Linked DNA regions of Oryctolagus cuniculus. The protein of the gene in region 4 purifies or fractionates together with the protein of the main gene of each other region. This does not show direct contact. Links are inferred from orthologs where the notes say so. Each region holds a gene or a part of one and is shown on either strand. Other genes may lie near its edges.

Region 1 (4,135 bases), on a different chromosome or scaffold from region 4:
GGCTACGTGGAAACCTCCCAGAGCCAGGAGCCACCATGACTTCCTTACCGTCTTCCTCGTCCTCCTCGTCGTCGTCCTCGTCCTCATCGTCGTCTTCATCCTCGTCCTCCTCGTCCTCATCCTCGGAGGCGGGGGCCACCGCTGCTGCCTTCATGACCGCCGGCTCAAACTCATCCTCCTCGTCCTCCTCGTCATCTTCATCCTCGTCGTCGTCGTCCTCCTCGCTGTCCTCCTCCTCCTCCTCGTCGTCGCTGTCTTCCTTCTTGGCGTTCTTACCATTCTTGGCCCCCTTGGCGGGGAGGACCGCTCCCTTCTTTCCCGAGGCCGCTACCACTGCTTTGCCCAGCGCGGCCCCCTTCTTGCCCGACGCCACCACCGCTTTGGCTGGGGTAGCGGCCTTCTTCGCTGGCGTGGTGGCGGCTCCCTTTTTACCTGGAGTGACAACTGCTTTCTTGGCAGGAGTGGCAGCCGCAGGCTTTTTTGTCGGGGAAGCCACCGCCTTCTTGGCTGGAGCCGCAGCAGCTTTCTTGCCTTTCTTCTGTGGGATGACTATCTAAACAGCAAACACCAACAGTTAGTTCTGCTACATCCGAAAGGCAGCCCTGGTCCCAGTGGTGGATTCTGGCACTGCCTCTGGTTCAAGACTGCATATGTTCCATGTTAACATGTTAGGTTCAACAGTAAGTAAAGTGCTGTGGCGTAGCACATAAAACTGCTGCCGGCAGCCCATATGGGAGCCAATTCAAGCCCCAGCTGCTCTACTTCCATCCTGCTCTCCGCTGTGGCCTGGAAAGCAGAAGATGGCCCAGGCGCTTGGGCCCCTGCACCCACGTGAAGACCCAGAAGATCCTGGCTTCGGATAGGTCCAGCTCTGGACGTTGCAGCCACTTGGGGAGTGAACCAGTGGATGGGAGAACTCTGCCTCTCTATAACTCTCTTTGCAAATAAATAAATCTGAATATTAAAAATCATCTGGGGATCATACAGTGGGTAGTGGTACAGGATTCTTGTCCTGAGACAGGACCTGAGATAAAAATCAGCCTTAAATTGGCTGAGCAACCCTTACAAATTACAGCACATCAAATAAACACTGTATCTGTAAGAACCATTATTTACCTACATTTTAACTCCTATTCAAAGCTATTTTCATTAACTTCCTAGTTTATCAGATAGTTCACTTAAGAGTAAAGTCTTTGCTGAATTCTAAAAAACCGACTTTCCATGCAAGCAATGAACGTGAATGCTCAGGTGGCACCTTCAACCCACCCAATCGCTACAAACCTTACATACAGGGGGGGGACAGAATCCACCTGGTCCTTTATGCTGAGCAGGAGAAGTGTATCAACCTCACTCCAGCCGTGCAGAGGGCACAGATCCCAGATGCTCACACTCAGGTACTCACCCAACGGTCTCCTGCCATCTAAGCACCCCCCACCCCGGGTCACGTGAATAACACACTACTTTTCATATCCTTTTCAGACACCCAACACCATTCTGTCCACTGTGTAAGTGCAACCCAATTTCTCCTCGATCGCGACCCAGTTACCTCTTCTCCACTGCTGTCATCCTCGTCATCTTCCGACATCTCCTCGTCTTCACTATCTTCTTCTACCTCCTTGGGAGGAGGAGCCATTTTCTTGGGCTCACCTTGGTTTTTACCAGCCTAAAACGCACACAATGAGGACATGAACACCCCTCATCGATTCCACGGCCCACAATAAAATACAACCATCACCCTCCTCAACGCACTTTCAGCATTAAACATAACCGATCCTGAAACTGACCAACAGTACGGCCCATCAGAGTTTCCCTGTCAATCTTGACAAAACCTAAAAAACAAGTCCAAGGTGATGAAATAACCCATCTGCCTTTTTTTACCCTCAACCACTTAATTCACCCCTGGGTTCAACCCTAGCACCAGGCACCCTTCTTAGTAGCCAGCGGCCACTCTTCCAGGGAGGACCCCCCCCAGCCTCCGACGCACACCACCAGCGCCCTCGTCGGAACTCCGGGCAGCACCAGCGTCGCAAAAGCATAAAAGTAACAAAGCCACCTCGGACCCCAACCGGCCTGCCCCTCTCACCTGGCCGCGGCCACGTGGGGGTGCCCGGCGGCCACCATGTGCACGCACCCCGGCGCCTCCTTCCGGGGCCGGCGCACGTGGCGGCGGCCGGGGGGCCCCGGGCAGCTGGGCCAGGGCCGCGGGTTCGCGCCGGCGGGCCCCGGCCACCCCGCGGCCCACGCGGCGGGGCCCACGTGGCGGGCCGCGAGCCGGCGCACGTGCGGCCGGAGGCGGGGCCCGGCCCGCGCGCGGCGCACGAGTTGGATCTCACTTCCTCCCGCCGCCCCGCGCCCCGCGCCGCAGCCTTCCACGCCGCCCTCAGCACCTGCCGGAGCGCGCCGCACCTCGCCGCCAAGCAGCCAAGACACGCGAGAACTGCCCGCCAGTCGCGCGAGACTTCCCACAGCATGGCGCCCTCGAACGCGCCCGGGACGGCGCGCAGGCCCTCCTCCCCGCGACGCCGCGCGCGCTCCTGAGCAGCAGGCCTCGGCGCTCGCGCTCGCGCGCCCTCAGCGCTTACCTTGGCCAGCTTCACCATGATGGCGGCTTACGACGGCGGCGGCTGTGGCGCAGACGAGCCTAGAGGAACCCGAGCGGCGTCGATGGCGGCCGCGGGTGACTGAAGATGCCGGAGCACGTACGCCGGGCTGCCAGCGAGAGCTAGAGACTGAGGCGAAAGACTGAGCCTGCCCAGTAATCGCCTCTGGAAAGGCGACGACGGCGCCCTCGTGACTCCTCCTCTACCAATCAGAGCTCGCGTCCGTCGCGCGAGCCAATCGCAAGCCGCTAACTGTGCGCGGCGTGGGGCGGGGATTGGGCCGGAGTGGGCGGGCCCAGGCGGCCAAGGAGGGGAAGGGGGTCTGGCGGCCGCGTCCTGGAGGCGGGATTTGCTTTGTGCAAGGCCGGCGCTGATTGGCCCGGGGGTGCGCGGGTCGCAGAGTGTTCCTCCGCGGCCGGTCGTCCCGGCGCATGCGTCATGCGACGGGCTCTTTTGGCGCGGGGCGAGCGAGCGAGTGGCGCGGCGAACTGAGCGAACGCGGGGCGGTGGTCTCGGTTTCCAGAAAGTAGCCGGGTCCGGTAGACGTGTGCGCGGGAGGGCGCCGGTGCGCGCTCCTCGCTGAGCCTGCTTGCGGCTCTGGAGCGAGGGGTCGCGGCGGTTTCCTGCGGGTCAGCCCGAGGGCGCCGGAAGTTGAGGTTCGGCCAAGTTCCGAGTGGCCCTTTCGGGGGCCCGCCGGCCAGCCAGGGGCCCCAGACTCCCTGGCCGCTGGAGCGCCCTCCGGCCCACGTGCCTCCCGAGGGCTGCGGGTAGAGTTGTGAGCCGTGCACAAGCGCTCGGTTAGTCCCCCGTAACCACGCGGCAGGTGTTTGTCCCCGCGGTCCAGCAGCTTGGAGGTCGCGCCCGCGAGGGGCTTGGTCATGGTGGGGTGGGCAGCGGGACCTGGGCCGCCCGCCGCGCTTCCTCTGCCGTCAGTGTGGCGGCTGGGCGGGCAGCGGCACACGTGGCCCAGCAGTGGACCCGGCGCCCCGGGCGGGGGCTCGGAAGGTGGGCTTGGCGTTGTGTGCTCCTGCGGCGGCTCAGATGGGCGCCAGGCTTAGCGAACCAACCGGAGCCGGCCTCGGATGCCCCCCAGGCTTCTGGTAACCAGCTGCCCCAGCAGAACCTTTGATAAAAGTCGCCTCTGAAGGTTCAAAGTTGAGGAGGTCTGGGGGGGCCCGGGGTCGCTCTGTTTCTGTTGGAGAGGCAGAGTGGCAGACCTGCCCAGATGCCCAAAACAGCCAGGGCTGGGCCGGATCGAAGCCAGGGGCTCCATGCAGGCCTCCCCGGGAGCTGAGGGCCAGGGACCCCGGGACTCCAGCGTCCCTTGCTGTCTCCCATGTGGTCGGAAGTGGAGGTGGTGCCACATCCTAGGCACTCGGTCCGGCCCACGCGGCAGCTCAGCCTGCGGCGCCCCAGCTGCCCACCTGGGATTTTGCACTAAAGGCCTAGGAGCATTCTTCGGGGCGGCCGAGTTATTTTAGTTCTTGCTAGCACACCTGCGGCGATAGGAAGCCCAGGCCACTCACTGGGGCGCT
Region 2 (4,016 bases), on a different chromosome or scaffold from region 4:
CACTGTCTGTAACTCTACCTCTCAAATAAATAAATAAAATCTTTAAAAAAAAAAGATAAACGTCGGGGCCACAACTATGCCCTAGCCAGTTAAGCTGTTGCCTGTTGCACCACATCAGTACAGGCACCGGTTCCAGTCCCAATTGCTCCACATCTGATCCAGCTTCCTGCTAATGTGCCTGGAAAAGCAGCGAAAGTCCTTGGGCCCCTGCATCGACAAGGGAGACCAAGCCACATGTGGAAGACTGGGAAGAAGCTCCTGGCTTCTGGCTTCGGATCGGCGCAGTTCGGTCCGTTGTGGCCAATTGGGGAGTGAACCAGCGGATGGAAGACCTCTCTCTCTGTCTCTACCTCTTCTCTCTGTGTAACTCTGACTTTCAAATAAATAAATAAAATATTTTTTTAAAAAAAAAGTACTTTAAAAAATGTCATTTCAGTTCTCGCCTCGTTCTCCAGCACTAAATGCCATCTCTATTGATAAACTCACAAATGCATATTCCCGCGCTTTCCAACCCTGGGAGTAGAGACTAGCATTTAGGACACGCTCTCCGCCGTGGGAGGGCTTGCTCAGCCTTCTCGGGCACCCGCAGCGAGCGTGGGATTCCCACGCACAGCCCAACCTTCGGGCGACTCAAGAGGCCGGCGCTTCATGAGGGGGAGGGGAACGGCTGAAGGGGGCGGAGGAGCCCCCGAGGGGCAGCGGCCCCCACGGCTGGGCGCCCACAGCGCGACCTTGGCAGAGTCACCGCGACCCCCTCGCGCGCCCCGCGGGTTCTGCTACACAGGCTGCTCAACCGCGTTCCCCACCAAAGTGAGCGCGAACCAATAGGCGGCGGGAACCCGCAGCCTCGTTTGGAGGACCCAATCAAAAACCAAGGGTCTTATTATGACAACCTTGAGAACCAATGAAAACCGGGGAATTTTTTTTTAGCGTCCCGCCCAAGCACCAGCCCCCAGGCGATCGCCCTATGGAAGTTTTTTAAAGGTGTAAGTCCGAAGACAAGTCCGCGGCTGAACCACGGGACACTGTATTCACAAAACTTTGTAGGGAGACTTGAGAAAATCAAGGTCGCGAACAAGCTAACACTTTTTACCGCAATCTCACGGGCTGCGGAGTCCACCGGCACCCTCCAGCCCCGCGCTCGCAGCGGGAAGGCAGCGTGTTGCGCGCTGACGTCACGCGCCGGGCCACGCCCCCTCCGGCCGCCCATATAGCGTAGCCCTGGCGCGCGCGCGCACCATTGTGTGGCTGGACTCGGCCGCCGCTGCGGTGTGAGGCGCGTGTTCGGGCTTTCGCCGTCCCCGCACCCGCACCGCGGCTACCGCCTTGCGGCCAGCCGTTCGACAGCCAGCCTCCGGGACCACGCCCGCCACGGACATGCCGCGCGTCTACATAGGACGCCTGAGCTACAACGTCCGGGAGAAGGACATACAGCGCTTTTTCAGTGGCTATGGCCGACTCCTCGAAGTAGACCTAAAAAACGGGTGAGTCGGGTCTGGGCGCCCGCGTCCGCGCCCAGCGCCCCGGGCCTGGCGGCGGCGGCGGGGGCCGTCCGGCAACGCAGGCCGCTGAGGCCGCGGCGCCGCGTGGCAGGGCCTCCCAAGATGGCGGCGGCGCGGCGCCGCGGGCGCGCGCGGGCGGCCGCGGGGGCGCGTACGTGCGCGCCCCCGGCTAACGACGCCCCCGCCGGCCCGGCCCTCGGCCGCCCCCAGGTACGGCTTCGTGGAGTTCGAGGACTCCCGCGACGCCGACGACGCCGTTTACGAGCTGAACGGCAAGGAGCTCTGCGGCGAGCGCGTGATCGTGGAGCACGCCCGGGGCCCGCGCCGCGATCGCGACGGCTACAGCTACGGAAGCCGCAGTGAGTCGCATCCCCGCGCGCTCCGCGTCCTTGGGACCCCGGGGGCGGACGCGGGCACCGGGGTGGAGGGCGGGGCTTCCCAGCCCGGGCAGGCGCGGGGGCCGGGGGTCGTTTGGTCCCGGCGCGCCCGGGCCCCGCCGCTGCCCCGCCTGCCCGGGGAAGCCGGGGGACACCGGAGCGCGGGGATTGGGTCCGGGTGTTTGCCTTGGGGCTTGGTGCGGGCCGCGGTGGGAGGGGGTGGCGTGTGCGGAGCCCCGTTGGCACTGACGTGGGTGCTGCCCACGGAGGGAGCGAGGGGCGGCCGTACTGACCGAATCCCCCGGCTCACCTGTCAGTGCCTTAGCTAGAAGTGGGGGAGTTGGGGTGGGGGCGGGGGCGGGGAAAGGGGCGGAGCCTGTAGTTAGGAGTTAGGAAAATTGGTGGGGGCAAAGAAAATGCGATTCTAACGTGGTACTTTACCACAAACTAAATCTAAAGAAGCTTTATGCTGCATTTGAACTGCCGGGGCATGTTATTGGGAGGACGGGTGGGGGTGGTTATTTTAAATGTTTGATGTTGAAATTGTTGCATGTTGAATTCAAACTTTTTAACAAGTCCTTGATGTTTCAATTTGAAAGTGACCAATGGGGCTGAGGCTGTGTCCACTGAGGCTAAGATGACTGCCTTTCCTGATTGGCCTTGGCTTTTCCATACATTGTGTGACCCTTGCCCTATGACCCTTTGGCTGACCTTACCGGAAGCCATGACGACAGCAGCCTTTTGCCATTAGACGCAGGGTGATGGTGAGGATTCCAAGGGTTAGACAAAACTGGTTAATCTGAACTAGGTGACTGTTACCTTGCGTGTTTTGTGGCCAAACCACCACCAAAAACCTCACACTGTGATGTAAGTACTTAGTGTAACTAGTAAACATTTTTGTAAAATGTAGAAATGCATGTAATCAGTTAAGTTTTATATTTTACAATGTTCTGTAAAATAAAACTTAGCGAGGTAAATTGAATAAAGGAGCAGTCACTCTCTAACAGATTGTAGGAGAGGTTTAGTCGGATTTAGTCTATTTGACTTGCCCTTAATTTAATTTATGGCAAATCACAAATGTATCAAAGGTTTAGCAGTGTAATAGCAAAGTCCTACTCCAGTATATGAAAGTTGATATGTTTGTACTAACTTTCAAAAACGTTATCCATCCTTACCATTGCAAGCACCTGATTGTTCCCTTCGTGTGATAAAGGTGGTGGTGGTGGATACAGCAGTCGGAGAACCTCTGGCAGAGACAAATATGGACCACCTGTTCGTACAGAGTACAGGCTAATTGTAGAAAATCTTTCTAGTCGGTGCAGTTGGCAAGATTTAAAGGTAAGTGCTACAATGAAAGGGGTTAAGATTCATGCTGAAAGTAAACTCTTTTGCAATCTTTATTTTTTTAAGAACTCAGTATGGTATAGATACTTTCCCTCAGATTTCTGCACCTGAGCAGTCTTGTTGCTGTTTTAGGATTTCATGCGCCAAGCAGGTGAAGTAACCTATGCGGATGCTCACAAAGAACGCACAAATGAAGGTGTAATTGAATTTCGCTCCTACTCGGACATGAAGCGTGCTTTGGATAAACTGGATGGTACAGAAATAAATGGCAGAAATATTAGGCTTATTGAAGATAAGCCACGAACAAGCCATAGGCGATCTTACTCTGGAAGCAGATCTAGGTAACTTGTTTGAAGAACATGGAGAGCAGTAACTGGTACTTCTGGTTATGCATCTTGGGTTCTTTGCCATATGCTTTGTTAGTGCATTTAATTTTGTGGTAAGCAAATGCGTTCTGTGTGTGTGTGTGGCTGATCTGTTGATAAGGCACAAACATTGTTGAGGTTAAGGGCTCCTTGTGGGTTCTGTTACAGGTCACGTTCTAGAAGAAGGTCACGAAGTAGGAGTCGCAGGAGCAGCCGCAGTAGATCTGGAAGTATTTCTAAAAGTCGCTCCCGGTAAATATTGTGTTGTCCTTTTTTTCTGGCTGCTGCTGTGCTTGTTCGTGGGGTGCGTGTGTGTGCTGCAAGGCATTAAAAGAAATTGGGCTTTTCTGTGTCCAGATCCAGGTCGCGGAGCAAAGGTCGATCGCGTTCTCGATCAAAAGGCAGGAAATCTAGATCGAAGAGCAAAT
Region 3 (3,964 bases), on a different chromosome or scaffold from region 4:
CCTCACTGGCAGCTCCATCGGCATTCGAGTCAGGTTCGGAGTGCGGGAGGCCATTCTTCATCTTGGGACTCTTCTCTCCAATTTCTCCATTCACTTCCTTTTCTTTCTTCATCTTCTTGGGCTTAGGAGCGCCTATTTCTTCTGACGGCTCTTCACTTTTTATTACTTTTTTGGTTTTAGAAGAAGCAGTTTTCTTTTCAACGTTCTCCTTTTTCTTACTTTTGGCTTTAGGAGAAACAACTTCATCTTGAGATGGTTCCTCTTGTTTTTTCTCCTTTTTGGACTTAGGAGGATTCAAGTCAACCTCAGATGGCTCTTTCTTCTTAGCTTTTTTAGCTTTAGGGGAAACCATTTCTTCCTTTTCTTCTGCTGATTCTTCAATTTTATTAGATTTTGGCTTCTGTTTTTTATCTTTCTAAAAAGATAATGAAAATGCAAACACTGAACAATGCAGATAAACGTTTGCACAGTCCATCAAATATGGATTATTTCAGGATTGCTTTCAATGATAAATAACACAATTCAGGGGCATTTCAACAGTTGTACTTTATCTGTGACAGATACAAATCAAACAGTATGCTTTTTTAGTACTGTGTCTTAGCTAAGATGGAGATAAAAAGTTCATGAAAAAGTATATTTTGGTGCAAAAAATTTGGAAATCCTGTAGTTATTTTGTTACCTGTATTTTCCATATACTTTTGAAGCCCCTTGTTTATCAAGTTTCATTAGCTTGAGATCAAGGGTGTCTCTTAGTAACTGTTCATATTGGTCGAACTTTGTCTGACAATTGTAAAACCAGATATGATTAAGGGAATGACTCATAGTGGCTCAAGGGATGCTCCAACAGGCTCTAAACTAAATACTATAAAAAAGTGATCAAGTACAGTTCCAATTCTGAAAGCAATAATGCTATATATGTACACAGATGGAGGGTGTTAAATAGATTTTCTTTCTTCCTGTTAAAATTTTTGTACAGACAAAACAGGAACTCACACCATTTGCACCTTGTGTATCTCTCACAATGGCAAATGAACTTACATAAAGACACTGTTTCAAACATAATCACATAAACTCACAACCCATCATCCCCTTATGTAAAACAAAATAAATGCGCAAGTTACAAGTACACGGAAAAGATAAAATCTCAAAAACCAAATCAGGTGACTACAGCTCTTCCCTGAAATTTCTGATTCTCTCCATCTTTTCACATTACTGAAAACTTTTAACAACTGGACAGGTGCAGCCACCCTACAAACTCTCTAGCAGCACCTCGGCCAATTCCAGCAGGATGGAGACTACTGCGCTAACCAATGTGTCTCCCTAAAACTTCCGATCCGACCTGTGGACTCAAAGCAAGCACGAGGGGTAACCCGTCCACCACATGACCCCCTGGACTTCGGTTTTTCATCCCTTAGTTTCAAAAATTAAGAGGTAATTTCCTATCTGTAAGTCCAGATGGTTGCTCCTACTCTGACTATCCCACAGAGGAACACACTGACTGATGCAGAAACTTAAACCAGGACCTCCAATAACAGCAAAGAAGCAGACGACGACGACCCGGGGAATTTAAAATTAATGCACACTGCTGCCCTATGTAGAACAAAAACAAGGACAAAAAAAGCGATATTCAATTAGCACTAGTCCATGTGTTTGTTTTTCCATGGGAGATGTGGCCAATAAATTTAGAAGGCTTTAATTACCTCATCTTCTAAGCGCTGCTTACCTGAAAGCAAACTGTACTTCCCCAGCTAAGGCTTTAAAAAAAAAAAACACCCACTGCAGACACCACGCACGTGCGCAGATGGCCACAAGACCTCTCTAGTCTGGTCCACTGCTACGGTCCCCACCTGGACTTCGGAGTCCAGTGAGAGGACAAGCCGGAACCTGTGATCCCAGTTCCCGGGGCCACGTGGGACGCCGGTCCCGTCCAGCTCTGCGGCGGCCTCACGGCCAGCGCCCCCGGGACGCACGGATGCGTCAAAGACGGGAGCAAGGGGCCGGCGCGCGGCACAGCCGGCTCCGGCCCGCGGGCCACGCGCCTCCCAACCCGGGGGGAGCACCCCTCCTGGGCGCCGCTGGCGGGGACCAACGCGCGTTCCGCGGCTCTGCCGGATCTCGACTCGCGCCACGCGCTCGCACTCCCGCCCCTCGCCAGCACCCGGGCCCCTCGGTATCACCTTCTCATTTTGCTTTCGCGTCTTCTCCACTTTTCCCATGGTCGTGGCTGATTCCAAACTGGCGTCGCTACGGAGTTTGCCCGGCATCACTCAGCACCCGCCGCGCAGGCCGTCCGGTGCCCTCAACCGCGTGGAGAGGAAAAGATAGTACTTCCCCTTTGGCCCCCCCAACTCGCGTCACTTCCTGCGGCAAAGCATTTCCGGCGGAAGCAGGAAGCGCAAGGAAGGAGGCGGGTGCTGGGGTAGTTCCTGGCCTGAAAGTGGCAGGGCTTAGCGAAGCGACCGCTTTCGGCGCTTGCCCAGACGGCACCTACAAAAGGATAGAACTGGAGAACCACTAAGGTTAGCATTGCATTCTGAAACACTGGCCGGATTCTCGCCAGCCACACCTGATAATGGATGACTTGTGACTGATTGCTTTTGAGTGGCGCTTCTTCATTGCCTACTTTTTTATGTATTTGAAAGTCAGAGTTACACAGAGAGAAGAGGCAGAGAGAGAGAGAGAGAGAGAGAGAGGTCTTCCATCCGCTGGTTCATTCCCCAGATGTCTGCAACGGCCGGAGCTGTGCCGATCGGAAGCCAGGATCCAGGGGCTTCTTCCAGGTCTCCCACGCAGGTGCAGGGGCCCAAGGACCTAGATTATCCTCCACCTCTTTCCCAGGCCATAGCAGAGAGCTGGATCGGAAGAGGAGCAACCGGGACTAGAACCGGCACCCATATGGGATGCCAGTGCTTCAGGCCAGGGCATTAACCCGCTGAGCCACAGCGCCAGTCCCCTCTTCAGTGCCTTCTATCAGGTTGCTCAAGCTTACAAGGTATTTTTACTACAAACACGTGGGATTTGCGTCCTTAATCATTTTGTGGAAACTTTTATAATTGACGCCAAACTCACGAGCCTGGGTAAGAGCCAGAGTTCAGTCGGGTCTTTCATGCATGTGTGCCGGCAACAAACATCTAGAGCATTCCCCCAAGTCGGTGGGAAAAGCGGCATGCAGACAGCCCACAAGTCTCATCTTCCAGAAGCTTGGTGGGAGAGAGAGGCCTCAGTTGTTTTGAAGGCACAAAGAGGTACCTAAACCGACCTTGGCACCCAAGCCATGTACATCTCTGATGGAAGTTGACAGGGGCTCTTCATCGTGAGTGGTTTGGACACCATAGTACTTCAGGAAGTTGAGGGGAAAATGGCCAATTAAATGATCAATGACACTGTTGTTAAGCTTTTCCTACAGAACCAGTGGTCCAATGCACTGGGAAACAATTTATTTTACAAAATGGGTTGGAATCCTATCTATGAAGACCTGCCTTGGCCACTATTTTGAGTTTCCATGTATGAAACGGGGTACCAAAACCGTTAACAAAATAAACTGAGAAAATTAGACAGTGAATGGTTTGGCAGGGCCTGGCACATTGAGTACAATAAATGAGAGCTCTTCAAACTCATAGGTCAGGCCAGCATCGTGGCATGGTGGGAAAAGCCCATTGCCCCTGAGGCTGGCATCTCATATGCGTGCCTGTTGGAGTCCCACCTGCTCCACTTCTGATCTAGCTCCCTGATAATGGCCTAGGAAAGCAAAAGAGAATGGCCCAAGTCCTTGGGCCCCTGCCACCCACATGGGAGACCCACAAGAAGCTCCTGGCTCCCGGCGTTGGCTGTTGTGGCCATTTGGGGAGTAAACCAGCTGATGGAGGATCTCTGTCTCCCCTTCTCTGTAAATCTTTCAAATAAACGCTGGAAGTTTTATTTCTGTATTTCATGAGATTAGTTTTTCCTGCACATTTTTCATCAC
Region 4 (3,062 bases):
CTGTGTCCCCGCCCCAGCCCTGTTGGACTCCCTGAGGACCCCCCTCAGCCCTGTGTCCCCGCCCAGCTGCTGGGGACACCCTGAAGACCACATAAAAACCGTGGCTCGCCAGGGCAACTGTGCGCAGACACAGGCAGGTGCTTCAGCGCCCACTTCCTGGCTTCCGAGAGCCTGGGTCCAGACGCTGACGCTGCCCCTCAGCGGGGCTCACCCCGAGACAGGGACGCTGCTTCTGGGGACGCAGCCACCTGGGCCCTCGGCTCACACACGTGCACAGAGAGGACCGGAAGCACTGGCCTGGGTGAGGAGTGTGCTCCACGTAAGAACACGCGGGGCTGGGCGGGGGCCGCGGTGCCCGGCTGCCTGGTGGGGAGACGCCGGCCATCCTCACCCGCGCCAACGTCGGCTCAGAGCTGCCCAGAGCCCTGGGGGCTCCCCTAGCCTGGCGGGAAGCAGGCGACATTCAGAACCCCGCGCACACGGGAATTTTAATAGAAAAGGCCGGGCATTTAGAAAGTTATAATTTATAGAATACTCTGTACAAAAGCAGTCTTCCAAAAGGGGCCCCCGCGCCTCAGAAGAAATCCATGGCCGTCGGCCTCTTCTTTGGGGTGGCAGCCAGCGGCTTCTTGGCCACCAGGGGCGTGCCGGCCGGCGAGCTCGTGGGCGTCTTCAGCACTCCGTGGAGGGGTCTCTGCTCAGGGTTGAAGGCCACGCGGGAGGGGCCCGTGGGACTGACTAAGATGCTCTTGTCCGTCTTCTTGAACTCTGCAAGGGAACGGAAGGCCCGAGGTGAGGGGACGACCCCGGGCCGCAGCCCCCAGCCCCCAGCCCCCCGGCCAGGGCCGAGGCGGAGCCTGTCCCCAGTTCTGCACGAGGCGGGAGTGCCCGGCAGGCCTCTCCTCTGCACACCACGCACGGGGGCCCGAGCCTCAGCAGAGGCAGCCGGGCTGGGGACTGCTGGGCCCCGACGGCCTCTCGGGGGCCCAGCTCCAAGCAGCTGGGGAGCTGCCCGGGAAACCGGCTCTCGGGAGGCCCACGCCCACGGGCCCCCGGGACGGCTCCTGACCCCATGCCCACCGGCTCCCAGCCTCCCCGACTTGCCTGCGGTCGTGTTTCTGCTCAGCCCGAAGGTGACCCTCTTGGCGCTGGACGGCGTCCTGTTCAGCTGGGGAAGAAACAGCACGAGGGGGCGACACTGACCGGGCTGCCGGCTCTCGCTGGAGACCCTGCCCAGCGGGGAGGCCCCCGGCACACGGGTGCAGCCTCGACTACACGTCCCAGCGCTCGGGTCTGTCAGGCTGCGCAGGCCACCCAGCGTGTTCTGAAGGAAGCAAACCCCAGCCAGGACGTCGATGACAGCCCGGCCGACAGGAGACGCTCGGCACCAGCCATGACCAGGGTCCCCACTCCAAGCTGCAGGCTGCACGGCGCTGCCGAGACCACACCCCTGGTGGACTTGAACTTCAGGGGGCAACAGGTGCGAAACTGCCTGCTGTTCACGTGCAAGACTGGGCTACCTGGACAGCGATGCGCCTAGAAGTGGGTCCCCTGGGCGTCACAGCACCCCGGCCCCCGAGAACCCTGGGCCTCTGGTGCAGCCGCACTCCCAGTTCTCCACCTGTGCCCTGACAGCAGATGCGCGGCAGTGAGCAGGCCCTGCCAGTGAGAGCCCTGGGGCTGAGGCAGGACGGGGTGAGTGGCTACACGGTGGCTCCCCACGGCGCCAGGCGGCTGACCACTCCAGAAGCAACCGGGCCCTAGAACAGGCACCTGTCTCAGGCGGGAGCTGGGGCCTGAGTGCAGGGCTCCGACGGCCGCGGGGCCCGTACCTGGACGGCAGGACGTGGCGGGCAGGTCGTGGGGCTGCTCTTTGCTTTCCTGAAGAACAGGGGCTTTGGCGAGAGGGACGTGTCGAACTTCACAAAGTCGCTCTCGGTCCTCAGCAGCTTCTTCACGGGGCTGAGGGGCCCGCGGCCTCCCTAGGGGCGAGAGGCACAGGCAGGGATGGCATCGCTGGGCCTCCTGCCAGGCTGTGCACAGGAAGTGAAACCGGGACAGCGCCCCGGGCAGCGCGGAGTGGCCCCGGCTCCCTCTGTCAGAGCCCCACTCACGCTGCACCCATAGGGTGTCAATCGTCCGGCGACCCTCGTCCGGGGACCCTCGCTCCTCCTCCCTGCGCAGGCCTGTGCGCTCAACTCTCCTGTTTTCCCACCTGCCCACCCCAGTCCCCGCTGGGCAGTGGGGCACCTGCAGTGGTTCTGGATCTGAGGCGCTAAGAGGCCGCGCAGCCAGCGCCGCGTGGGTGGTTTCGGCAGGTTCCTGGTGTGCCTGCGCCCGGGGAAGGGCAGCCCTGGGGCCCGGTGCCACCCCTGCTGCCACCAGCCACAGGGACAGGACGCTCCTGCCGGGAGCACCCGGGAGGCCCCGTGCAGGTAGATGGAGGGAAGGTCTCAGCGTACCCGTCTTCCTCTGCCTTCCCCGCCCCAGGTCCCAAGGACCACACTGTCACCCACTCCCCACTCGGCGCTGGGCCCACGGTCACGGCCACCGCGGAGCCGTGCGCGAGCATTGGCGCTGGACGAGGGTCCCGAGGAGCTGGTCTGGCTCGGTGGCTGGGGGTCGCTGCCACCTGCAGGCCATGGTGTGGAGGACACGGCCAGCGCCTGGCCCTGCCTGGCTCCGCAGAACCCAGCACAAGGGGCGGGGCTCCCTCCTGCACCGGCAGGAGACGGCAGGAGACGGGGGCACTGTCAGCCTGCACACAGGGCTTTTCCCAGCTCAGCGGCGACCCCTTCCCGAGTGTGGAAGTGCTTGGCCACGAGACCTGCGCCCGTCACCTCCTGGCGGGGAAAGGCTGCGACAAACCCCGTGTCTGACTGGCCAGCCCCTCCCCCGCCGACGCTGCAGCCCACCCCCCCACCTTACCAGAGCCGAGGTCGGCCTGCCTTCGGGCCCCAGCAGGTCCGACATCCTCCTTTTCCTCCGCTTCTTCAAGATGGCGCTCTTCTGCCGGGCCAGGCCCTGCACGTCGAGGCTGCCCGGCCCAGACTTCCTGTTCT
Region 5 (4,295 bases), on a different chromosome or scaffold from region 4:
AGGAGTAGGACCCACCCAAGCACACTATTGACCCATAGCAAGACTTTTGAAATGTAAATGTTGGTTTGTTTCCAAGGCCTGTATCCTTGTGCCATCACACAAATATTCCCACTTTCAAAAAATTCCCATTTTCTTTGACCACTGGCACACAGATAGGCTAATGTCTACCAAGCTACGTTAATAAAGTTGGAGGACACTGGATAAAATGTGATCTTACTTAAACAATAAAAGAAGTATTTCTGAGTGTATGTACATATATTCCTAAGTACCCATCCTTTTACTGTGGAAGTCCATTTCTTAGGCTATATTCTATTAAACTACTTTCAGATATCCATAAAAATATAGGTACAAAGATGTTTACCTAAATAATATTTTTAGTAAAATTAGGTAGAAAATATGCCTATCAATGGAGGAACAAATAAATTATAACATACCTACATTATACTACCATAGACAAACATCTATCCAAAACATTTTTTTAAAAGTTTACTTATTTACTTGAAAGTCAGAATTACAGAGAGGGAGAGGCAGAGAGAGAGAGAGAGAGAGAGAGAGAGAGAGGTCGTCCATCCGCTGGTTCACTCCCCAAATGGCTGCAATGGTCGGTGTGGACCAGGCAAAGCCAGGAGCCAGGAGCTTCTTCCCCGTCTCCCACGTGGGTGCGGGGGCCCAAGGACTTGGGACATTAGGCCATTACCAGGGAGCTGGATGAAGTGGAGCAGCCGGGACTCAAACCTCAAACCGGCGCCACCATCACAGTACTTCCTAATTCGATGTATTGAGGTAAAAAAAAAAAAAAAAAAAAAAAAAAAAAAAAAAATTCCTTAAGAAGCCCAGCGCTCAGGGTCTGTGAGGTCTTACGTGTTTGTCAAGTAGTTTAAAATGCTAATTCCCAGGCTGCCTTCCAAAGATTCGAATTAAGGTTCCTGCATTTAAATCGAGTCAAACGTTTCCTTTCGCCGGGAATGTTAAAGGTTAGGAAGTGCACATCCCCAGAGGCTGCACCGGCGGAGGCGGCTGACTCGGTCCCCGTGTGGCCCCAAGTTGCCATAAAAATGAGGACTTTGTTGATTTTTCCTCAGAAAGGGCGGATTTATAAGAACACAGAGTCCTGTAAGTCTGGCCAATAAAGAATAAAAACCGTCGTCCACTCGTTCTCCCGCTCTGGCACCTGAGACTAGCTGTGGGGAAGCCATTAGCTCCGAGCCCAGGCTTTCGGGCAGGTCAAAATCCCGCGCTGATTATGCCATCTTGGAGGCTTGCGGGAGACGAGGGGATGGAGGAAGGAGAATGGAGCTGCTTTCTGGCTTATTCCCGACTGCCTGAGCCTCCGCATCCAGCACAGCGAAGGCCTGCTGTCGCCATCTTGCAGGGTGGGCTGCGCAGGCTCTTGGCGCGAAGCCGACGCGCTGGAACCGGAGAGGACGTGGAACCGCCGGAGGTGGGGAGCGCGCGCCGCAAGGGGAAAGCGCGCCTGCGCATCGGCGACGGCGGCAGAGGGGTGGGGCAGGGTTTCGAGTGCGCGTGCCCGGTGTGAGCCCGCGAAGTACCTGGAAGAGGTGGGGGGAGAGGTAGAGAGGAGTGTGTTGAAGAGCGCTTGCGCAGCAGCGCGACCGTACTGCGAGAAGGGGCTGAAGAGCACGCGCGCGGAGGCGGGACTTGGAAAGCTATCGCGAGATTTCTGGTGGCTATATATACTAGCGGGGAGCCCGCGTCCTTTCCCTGGCGTGATTCCGTCCTGCGCGGCTGTTCTTTGCAGCAGTGGGCGTCTAATCTCCGTCCGCTTTCTCTCCTACCCAAGTTCGTCCCTCCGCCTCATGGAAGATTCGATGGACATGGACATGAGCCCCCTGAGGCCCCAGAACTATCTTTTCGGTAACTATTGTGGGGGTTGAAGCGAGGCCGAGCAGGGCCTGGTGGTGGCTTTAAGGGTTGGGGGGAGGGGGCGGCGGGAGTCTGACTGAGGCCCGGGCTGTTGGAAAAAGGCCGGCAGACTGGAGGCCGGAGAGAATAGGGAGCAGACCGCAGGCGTCCTGGTGCTGAGCGGGGTGGGAGCTGGGAGCAGAGAGTGAGCCGTGTGAAAGGGGTGGGGAGGAGCGGCGGCCCCCGGCCTGGGGCGTGAGCGGGCCATGGCCCAAGGCCGTCTGAAGGTTCGGCGTTGCCTGGGCTGCGAAGTAGGATTCCAGGCGTGATTTTTTGTCCCGTAGTGTGTAAGTCGGCTGGCTTGTTGCTAGGCCGTGTTACAGGAGGTTGGGGGGGGTGCATGGAGGGGCGTGGAAGTCCCTGCTGGAGGAGGAGGTGGGTGCAGCCTGGCGTCCTCATCCAGAGTTCCGGGCCCGGAGACAGCTCGGGTGCCTCAGCCAGTGAACCGGGGAGGGGATGTGCGGCGGGGCTTGAGGAGGCCGCGACCGCCCGAAGCACGTGGTTGCCACGTGGTTGGGGGAAGGGAGGGGGTGTGGGCTGTACATCCGGGGCTCTGGCATCTTGTCACCCACCCACCCCCCGCCCCAGCCAGGGGTCCTGTGGCTGCTTTGAGACTGTTGGGCGGGAAGTGATAGGTGTAGTGGCGGATTGAACTAGGATTCTGGAAGTCTTTGTCCAGCGTCTGCAGCATCAACTGTACCGTAACTGGCCTTTTTAGAGTCCTCTTTCTGCCTCAGCTGGTAGACGGACCTAAACCACAATACAGGTCTGATGCTCAGAGAAGTAATTAGGTTAAGGTTGCGCTTAAAAACCAGATTTAAACAAAATCCTTGATTGCAGAGCCAGCGCTTCATAAGTGAGGCTTATTTTTTTTCCAGGAAGGGTGTAGCGGAGGTAGTCCAGCATGGATTTTGTTATGTTCACCAACGTTCTCGGGTTGTAACCAGAGATTGGGAACCACAGCGCCCCCGTCCCCCGCGAACTCACACTACTATGTATGCATAGTTTTAAGGAATTACAGTAGAACTTAATTCTGGGAACCCTTTGTTGGTTAGACATGGAAATAGATGCTAATCCTACCCCTAGTTTACAAACCATGTTGAGGTTTGTTAGCACTAGCATGCTTAAGTATCTATTGTGAATGGGAGTGAAGTGTAACCACGTAAATTTTTATTCTGGCAATAATTAAAACAGTTTCCCGATGGAGTGGGAGTAGATAATGTGCACGGTAGTGCACTTTAGGACTTAATTCTTAGCCATTTTTAGAGGTTTCTGGTGATTTTATAAACAATAATTCTTTTTTTTGGCCCTTTATATTGGAAGTGTCCTTGATTGTGTCTGTTGCCTCTATTTCTAATGTGCATCACTTTGGAATATTGACCCTTACAAGTTGATTCTTTTATGTTGGTACTTTTCTCTGTAGATGAAAGCTGTTCATCTGAGAAACCATTCTCATTGCTAATTTTCCACTATTGGGAGTTTAGATAGATAATTCCAGTTTTTTAAATGGTTGGGAATTAACTATTATATATTAGGCTTCATTATTGATATGTCTGCAGAAGTAGTAGTGCTTGTCTCAGTGTATTGAAAAATACTGTAATGAAAATGCAACTAATACAGACTTGTAAGGACCTTAAATGATTTTTAAAAATGAGTGTTGAGGAAACCAGAAAGAGACCATTCTTCCTACTCTGTGGTAGCTAAAGTAGAGGAAAACTACTTAAAAGGTTAGCTTTGTTAATTTTCTGCTTGTTAGAATTGCTTTTTTCTTTTACAGGTTGTGAACTAAAGGCTGACAAAGATTATCACTTTAAAGTGGACAATGATGAAAATGAGCACCAGTTATCTTTAAGAACGGTACTTAAGCTTTTAAAATAAACATTTCTTGATTTCAGCAATTTAATTGTCCCCTATTTCTCTGCTTATAAGAGTTTTTATGATTGGATATTGTATATACCTCATCAATAAACTTGATTAAAAAGCTGGGCATGTTCACTGCTACCTGGTAATCTGGTAAAGTCAAGTCACCGTTTTATTATCTTGCTTCATTTGAATCATGAAAGATCTCTAGGGTGTCTGCCAGACGAACCTACTCAGCTTTGTAGTGGGTGTTTAATAGGTGTTCTGTATAATATGTGTGCATTTTTAAGTATTTCTTCAAGTTTACTGAACATGAGAAATTGGTTTGCCAATCTTACTAAACTTGAAGGTAGTGTTGGCACAAGTTGGAAATAATGATAAAAGTCATATTTGGTATTTTTAAACACAGATTTCCGAGGCAGGATTGTAAAACAGTTGGAAATTAAAGTTTACAAACTGTTCACAGGTCAGTTTAGGCGCTGGTGCCAAGGATGAACTGCACATTGTTGAAG

The links. Proteins that work in one complex are often made in the same cells at the same time.
Region 1: the proteins of RRP1B (region 4) and NCL purify together in Homo sapiens (affinity purification with mass spectrometry; 3 studies listed by BioGRID and IntAct, with this or other methods). This does not show direct contact. The link is inferred for Oryctolagus cuniculus from reciprocal best matches to the Homo sapiens genes RRP1B and NCL.
Region 2: the proteins of RRP1B (region 4) and SRSF6 purify together in Homo sapiens (affinity purification with mass spectrometry; 3 studies listed by BioGRID and IntAct, with this or other methods). This does not show direct contact. The link is inferred for Oryctolagus cuniculus from reciprocal best matches to the Homo sapiens genes RRP1B and SRSF6.
Region 3: the proteins of RRP1B (region 4) and DDX21 purify together in Homo sapiens (affinity purification with mass spectrometry; 3 studies listed by BioGRID and IntAct, with this or other methods). This does not show direct contact. The link is inferred for Oryctolagus cuniculus from reciprocal best matches to the Homo sapiens genes RRP1B and DDX21.
Region 5: the proteins of RRP1B (region 4) and NPM1 purify together in Homo sapiens (co-immunoprecipitation; 3 studies listed by BioGRID and IntAct, with this or other methods). This does not show direct contact. The link is inferred for Oryctolagus cuniculus from reciprocal best matches to the Homo sapiens genes RRP1B and NPM1.

What each region holds. Positions count from the first base shown.
Region 1 is NC_091434.1:7,817,131-7,821,265, reverse strand, and holds the start of NCL (nucleolin), read right to left. Parts: upstream 2,812-4,135; 5' UTR 2,601-2,811; coding exon 2,583-2,600; intron 1,664-2,582; coding exon 1,547-1,663; intron 554-1,546; coding exon 49-553; intron 1-48. UniProt on the Homo sapiens protein: Nucleolin is the major nucleolar protein of growing eukaryotic cells. It is found associated with intranucleolar chromatin and pre-ribosomal particles. It induces chromatin decondensation by binding to histone H1.
Region 2 is NC_091442.1:15,437,472-15,441,487, reverse strand, and holds the start of SRSF6 (serine/arginine-rich splicing factor 6), read left to right. Parts: upstream 1-1,205; 5' UTR 1,206-1,377; coding exon 1,378-1,484; intron 1,485-1,712; coding exon 1,713-1,861; intron 1,862-3,092; coding exon 3,093-3,217; intron 3,218-3,355; coding exon 3,356-3,564; intron 3,565-3,756; coding exon 3,757-3,840; intron 3,841-3,945; coding exon 3,946-4,016. UniProt on the Homo sapiens protein: Plays a role in constitutive splicing and modulates the selection of alternative splice sites. Plays a role in the alternative splicing of MAPT/Tau exon 10. Binds to alternative exons of TNC pre-mRNA and promotes the expression of alternatively spliced TNC.
Region 3 is NC_091446.1:60,748,942-60,752,905, reverse strand, and holds the start of DDX21 (nucleolar RNA helicase 2), read right to left. Parts: upstream 2,812-3,964; 5' UTR 2,265-2,811; coding exon 2,178-2,264; intron 416-2,177; coding exon 1-415.
Region 4 is NC_091435.1:2,443,877-2,446,938, forward strand, and holds the end of RRP1B (ribosomal RNA processing protein 1 homolog B), read right to left. Parts: coding exon 2,929-3,062; intron 1,983-2,928; coding exon 1,833-1,982; intron 1,169-1,832; coding exon 1,105-1,168; intron 769-1,104; coding exon 575-768; 3' UTR 509-574; downstream 1-508. UniProt on the Homo sapiens protein: Positively regulates DNA damage-induced apoptosis by acting as a transcriptional coactivator of proapoptotic target genes of the transcriptional activator E2F1.
Region 5 is NC_091437.1:58,113,514-58,117,808, forward strand, and holds the start of NPM1 (nucleophosmin), read left to right. Parts: upstream 1-1,484; 5' UTR 1,485-1,817; coding exon 1,818-1,875; intron 1,876-3,700; coding exon 3,701-3,780; intron 3,781-4,249; coding exon 4,250-4,295. UniProt on the Homo sapiens protein: Involved in diverse cellular processes such as ribosome biogenesis, centrosome duplication, protein chaperoning, histone assembly, cell proliferation, and regulation of tumor suppressors p53/TP53 and ARF.